Linked DNA regions of Oryctolagus cuniculus. The protein of the gene in region 1 binds, or shares a complex with, the protein of each later gene. Links are inferred from orthologs where the notes say so. Each region holds a gene or a part of one and is shown on either strand. Other genes may lie near its edges. The genes, in order: TUBGCP5 and TUBG2.

What was found.
Region 2: TUBGCP5 (region 1) and TUBG2 share a complex: the UniProt entries of both Homo sapiens proteins name them as parts of the gamma-tubulin ring complex. The link is inferred for Oryctolagus cuniculus from reciprocal best matches to the Homo sapiens genes TUBGCP5 and TUBG2.

The regions. Positions count from the first base shown.
Region 1 is NC_091443.1:17,643,261-17,647,080, reverse strand, and holds part of TUBGCP5 (gamma-tubulin complex component 5), read left to right. Parts: intron 1-432; coding exon 433-615; intron 616-1,604; coding exon 1,605-1,689; intron 1,690-1,786; coding exon 1,787-1,907; intron 1,908-2,332; coding exon 2,333-2,514; intron 2,515-3,820. UniProt on the Homo sapiens protein: Component of the gamma-tubulin ring complex (gTuRC) which mediates microtubule nucleation.
Region 2 is NC_091448.1:20,228,778-20,231,296, reverse strand, and holds the end of TUBG2 (tubulin gamma-2 chain), read left to right. Parts: intron 1-305; coding exon 306-392; intron 393-508; coding exon 509-658; intron 659-1,012; coding exon 1,013-1,165; intron 1,166-1,242; coding exon 1,243-1,404; intron 1,405-1,510; coding exon 1,511-1,708; 3' UTR 1,709-1,887; downstream 1,888-2,519. UniProt on the Homo sapiens protein: Tubulin is the major constituent of microtubules, protein filaments consisting of alpha- and beta-tubulin heterodimers. Gamma-tubulin is a key component of the gamma-tubulin ring complex (gTuRC) which mediates microtubule nucleation.

The DNA.
Region 1 (3,820 bases):
CCGGTGCCACGGCTCACTTGGCTAATCCTCCACCTGTGGCTCCGACACCCCGGGTTCTAGTCTGGTTGGGGCACCGGATTCTGTCCCGGTTGCTCCTCTTCCAGTTCAGCTCTCTGCTGTGGCCCGAGAAGGCAGTGGAGGATGGCCCAATTGCTTGGGCCCTGCACCCGCGTGGGAGACCAGGCGGAAGCACCTGGCTCCTGGCTTTGGATCGGCGCAGCACGCCGGCCGTGGCAGCCATTTGGGGGGTGAACCAATGGAAAAGGAAGACCTTTCTCTCTATCTCACTGTCTAACTCGGCCTGTCAAAAATAAATAAATAAATATAGAATAGACACTTGTTTCACTAAAACTGACAGTGTACAAAACCTGGTGTTGATGGAGAATCCTGCCTTATGAATTGAAAACATCTTTGTCACTTCTCTCCATCCAGGCTGGTGGAATACCTACAGGCTATGAGAAATTTTTTCTTAATGGAAGGTGGAGATACCATGTATGACTTTTACACGTCGATTTTTGATAAAATACGAGAAAAGGAAACCTGGCAGAATGTGTCTTTTCTTAATGTTCAGCTCCAGGAAGCAGTAGGACAACGTTATCCTGAAGATAGTTCACGGTAAAATTAAGGAGATGCCTTTTTATTAAAACAGTATAAAATTAACCATGTGCCAGGAAATATCTGAATCTTTACATTTATTATCCTTCTTAATCTTGACACTAGCCCTCTGAGGTCTGCTAATATTATTTTATATATTAGAAAGTTGAGACAGTGAGTACCCAAGCGCCTCACCTACAAAACAAAAGACCATCAGATGGAACCACCCAGCCTCTTGGGGTCTATAGGCCCCACCGTGTGCTTGGAGTCTGTGCTTCTCTCTTAGCTCCCACACATCTTTGGTGCTAAGTCTCCCTGGAGAATGCTCCCCAGCACCATCTCTTAATACCTCTATGACCATGGGAGTCAATCCCCTTGGTAACACCCATGAGGCTTTTTTGAGGATTACGTGAGTAGTGCCTCAGTAGTGCCTGGTGCATGGACACCCCATGTGCTGTGTTAGGTACTCTCCTTTTGAGAATCATATTCAGACTTGCTTCAGGAATGCATGGGGGAAAACAAAGTGTGCCACTTGTGCCACAGATGCAGCACCCCACACACACACCCTGTGCTCACCTGGGTCTGACTCTGGCAGCTGCTGCACGTACCACATGCATGGCTCCCTCCTGCCTCCTCAAACGCGAGCAGAAGGCTCTGTCTGCTGAGCCTCTTTGATTTTATCAGAATTAAGCTCCCAGCCTATTACTGCTATTTCTTCTCTGTCTTTGCCTTTTTTTTTTTTTATTAAGAATTGCCTTTGTTAGTATGTCTTCTATAGCTAAACCCATTGTCTGAAATTTTTGCCATTTTTCCTTATTTTGAAAGTCAAATGTCTGTTCTGAAATAGATGCTAGAAAACATAACCTTAGTTAACAAATTAGCATTCTTTGAAATCCAGAATACTTTTGGAATATTATGTAAATAAATGTTAAAAAGCTAATTGTTTTTAAAAGGCTGTTTTATATAAGCATAGTGCCATCATAAACTAAAATTGAAATTTCTTTATTTAGTCTGTCTATATCTTTTGAAAACGTTGACACCACGAAGAAGAAGCTCCCTGTTCATATCTTAGATGGTTTGACCCTGAGCTACAAGGTGTGTGCTGAAATTCTTTTACAGATGCTGTTTTCTATTCTAAAGCAGACAATGGTGGATTACTTTCTCTTCTAATTTTCTGGTTTTGTTTTCATAGGTTCCTTGGCCTGTGGACATTGTTATAAGTTTGGAATGTCAAAAAATTTATAATCAGGTGTTCCTGCTCCTATTGCAAATAAAGTGGGCAAAATATAGTCTGGATGTTTTACTATTTGGTGGTAAGATTTGTTTTCAACAGATAAATTGCAATTTAATCTTAGCCCTGAAAAAAAGAGATTGGTGGTCTTTGACCATTTTTTATGTGTACACAAATACCAAAATTTATAGCAAACACCTGATATCTGAATGGAATATTGGAATGTTTTATGGATAATCTGAAATACAGTGCTTTGAGTGAGAATTCAGCCAGAATAAACACTTAGGTTATTCAAAAAATATAGTAAGTGTATAGAACTCCTGACTCATATTTTTCACGAGAGTGATTCCAAAGGTGACATGGGTCCTTCATGCTCCCTTTTCCCAAGGCGCTGAGGTCAGTCCTTGACGTAGTGCCAAAGCCTGGCCCCCAGAATTCCCACCATGTGCAGCAGGCAGCCGGGCTCGAGGCCGTGCTCTCTCTACCACTTTTTTCAATCTCCTACAGAGTTGGCTAGTGCTGCTCAAAAACCGCCGCTCCAGGAAGGCCTTCTGGGTGAACAAGACACAGCTGCACCGTTTGGACCGCAGAAGGAGCCGCCAGTGAGGCAGCAGATCCACCGCATGTTCCTCCTGAGAGTGAAGCTTATGCATTTTGTGAACAGCTTACACAACTACATCATGACCAGGGTTTGTGTCTGCCTCTACCTCAGTTCTGTATCCAACAGTTGTTCATAGCAAAGTACTTTTTGCATTTATAGAAGTGCACAGGGGCTGGCGCCGTGGCTCACTAGGCTAATCCTCTGCCTTGCGGCGCCGGCACACGAGGTTCTAGTCCCGGTCGGGGCGCCGGTTTCTGTCCCGGTTGCCCCTCCTCCAGGCCAGCTCTCTGCTGTGGCCAGGGAGTGCAGTGGAGGATGACCCAAGTGCTTGGGCCCTGCACCCCATGGGAGACAGGAGAAGCACCTGGCTCCTGCCATTGGATCAGCGCGGTGCGCCGGCCGTGGCGGCCATTGGAGGGTGAACCAACGGCAAAGGAAGACCTTTCTCTCTGTCTCTCTGTCTCACTGTTCACTCTGCCTGTCAAAAAAGAAAAAGAAAAAGAGAAAAAAAAAAAATAAGTGCACAGGAACTCATAGATTCATGTAGATGGTGGAGATGGGACGTAGAAGATCTGGTATTTGGCACAGAGATTAAGACGCTACTTGGGATGCCCTCATCCCATATCAGAGTGCCTGGATTTGAGTCCGACTCCACTCCCAGTTCCAGCTTCCTGCTAACACGTGTGTTCCAGGGAGCCAGCAGGTAATGACTCGAGTGCTTGAGTCTCTGCCCTCAGTGTGGGAGACCCGCATTGAGCCCCATGCTCTTGACTGTGGCCTGCCTGACTCCAGCAAGTACAGGCACTTGGGGGTGAACCAGCAAAAGGAAGATCTTTCTGTGTTTTGTCTTTTTCTCTCTCTCTGTCTCTCGGCTGCCTTCCAAATATATAAATATGGTTTTTTAACAAGAATGCTCAAGGGGCTAGCGCCATGGCACAGTAGGTTAATCCTCCACTTGTGGCGCCAGCATCCCATTTGGGCGCCGGTTCTAGTCCCGGTTGCCCCTCTTCTGATCCAGCTCTCTGCTATGGCCTGGGAAGACAGTAGAGGATGGCCCAAGTCCTTGGGCCCCTGCACCTGCATGGGAGACCTGGAGGAAGCACCTGGCTCCTGGCTTCAGATTGGCTCAGCTCTGGCTGTTGCAACCATCTGGGGAGTAAACCAACAGAGGGAAGACCTTTCTCTCTGTCTCTCCCTCTCACTGTTTATAATTCTACCTCTCAAATAAATAAATAAAATCTTTTTTTAAAAAAAAAAAGAATGCTCAAGATGAGAACTTTTTTTTTTTTAAGATTTGTGTATTTATTTGAAATAGTAACAGTGGTTTACTCCCCATATGGCCACAGGGGCCCAAGTACTTGGGTTATCTTCTGCTGCTTTCTCAGGCCATAAAA
Region 2 (2,519 bases), on another chromosome or scaffold:
ATTTCAGGTTAACAGCGTCTTTTTTCTGTTCTGTATTCAATGTCAGCCTCCCTCAACTAGGCTGGAGGCCTGGCGAGGGCAAGACCGTGCCCGTTTTCACTCTGTGGTCACTCCAGACCCAGGCACAAAGTGTGGCACAGAGGACACTCACAGATTTGTTTACTGCCCTGCACTGTCCAGAGGGACTCATAATACCCCCAAAGAATGCTTTCCTTGTAAACTAGCAAAGCTACTGACTGCCTTTACAGCTTAGCAGGTGCTCAGCCAATATTTCATGTCTATGCCACCCTGTCTGTCCCCTCCAGGTGGTGCTGGACAACACAGCCCTGAACCGGATAGCCACGGACCGCCTGCACATCCAGAACCCATCCTTCTCCCAGATCAACCAGCTGGTGAGCCCACCTCTGCACTCCTTCCCACTGGAAGTCCTCCCTGAGGGAGGACTGTCGGGGGAGGGGGGAGGGGTCCTACCCAGGCCAGGCCCATGACACAGCACCCCTGTCCCCAGGTGTCCACCATCATGTCAGCCAGCACCACCACCCTGCGCTACCCCGGCTACATGAACAACGACCTCATCGGCCTCATCGCCTCGCTCATCCCCACGCCCCGGCTCCACTTCCTCATGACCGGCTACACCCCCCTCACCACGGACCAGTCAGTAAGAGCAGCCCTCAGTGTCCCGGGCCAGCTGGCCCTGACCTGGCCTCTCCTCTCCTCGCTGCCCTGGCAGCTGCCCATTGCAGCCCCCAGAGGCCTTGCACTCAGGCACTGGCAGAGCGTGGGACTGTCTCGCTGCCTCGTCTCCACCTTCCCTCTGCCCTGGGCTCCTGCAGGCCCCGTGGCGTGGGGAGCGCTGTTGGCTCCTGCACGAGGACATGTCTGTGAGCTGACGCTGGTCCTGCCTGAGAGGCCGCACTGCTCCAAGTCTGCCGGGGTGTGCTGGCTCCTCTGCATCCCTGCCCGGTGCCCCGAGTGCTGGTCTGGCCCCTGTGACCGCTATCCCACCCCTCAGGTGGCCAGCGTGAGGAAGACCACGGTCCTGGACGTCATGCGGCGGCTGCTGCAGCCCAAGAACGTGATGGTGTCCACAGGCCGGGACCGCCAGACCAACCACTGCTACATCGCCATCCTCAACATCATCCAGGGGGAGGTGGACCCCACCCAGGTAGGGGAGGCCCCTTCCTCCTAGCCTGAAGCCGCAGGGGCACAGAGAGGCTGCCACCTCCCACTGTGCCCACCCAGGTCCACAAGAGCCTGCAGAGGATCCGGGAACGGAAGTTGGCCAACTTCATCCCCTGGGGCCCAGCCAGCATCCAGGTGGCCCTGTCGAGGAAGTCTCCCTACCTGCCCTCAGCCCACCGGGTCAGCGGGCTCATGATGGCCAACCACACCAGCATCTCCTCCGTGAGTCTGGCCATCCTCTGTTCCACCCTCTGCCTTCCCCCAGTCACTTCTCAACCCCTCCCCGTCCTACGCTGGCCCCTCTCCTGGAGTTTTCCGTTTCTTCCAGCTCTTCGAAAGTTCCTGCCAGCAGTACGACAAGCTGTGGAAGCGGGGAGCCTTTCTGGAGCAGTTCCGCAAGGAGGACATCTTCAAGGACAACTTCGACGAGATGGACAGGTCCAGGGAGGTTGTGCAGGAGCTCATCGACGAGTACCACGCAGCCACCCGGCCGGACTACATCTCCTGGGGCACCCAGGAGCAGTGACTTCCCTTCCTGTTCCTCTTCCCGAGTGGGAAACACAGCCTCCATCCCTGGTTCCGCTGACCCAACCCTGCCCGTCAGCCTCTCTGGGTCATCTCCAGCCCAGGAGCTGGCCTACTTCCTCCCTTCTGTGCCCTGACCCTTGATATGCTTGTTCAGCTCTAATAAAGTAATAAAGCATGCTTGTGAGCATAGGCAGGGCTTGAGCGGAACCTGGGGGATGGTGAAGGGATGTCCAGTGTCCAGGCACGCGATGGGAAGGTGGCCCCTGCCTGCTCTAGTCCAGGTCTGTGTCCAGGGTTTCCACTGGTGTCCTTTTTTATTTATTTATTTTTATTTTTTGACAGGCAGAGTGGACAGTGAGAGAGAGAGACAGAGAGAAAGGTCTTCCTTTGCTGTTGGTTCACCCTCCAATGGCCCCCGCGGCTGGTGCGCTGTGGCCGGCGCACCGCGCTGATCCGAAGCCAGGAGCCAGGTGCTTCTCCTGGTCTCCCATGGGGTGCAGGGCCCAAGCACTTGGGCCATCCTCCACTGCCTTCCCTGGCCACAGCAGAGAGCTGTCCTGGAAGAGGGGCAACCGGGACAGAATCCGGCACCCCGACCGGGACTAGAACCCGGTGTGCCGGCGCCGCAAGGCGGAGGATTAGCCTAGTGAGCCGTGGCACCGGCCTCCACTGGTGTCCTTTACCTTGAGTCTAGCTGTCTTACTGGAGTCAGCCCTTCTCTCAAAATTACAGAGGATTTCTGGGGTCTTCTCTCTCCCCCGTGCCCACGCTGTTGCCCTAGGGGACCAGCATTGCCCCACCCTCCTCCA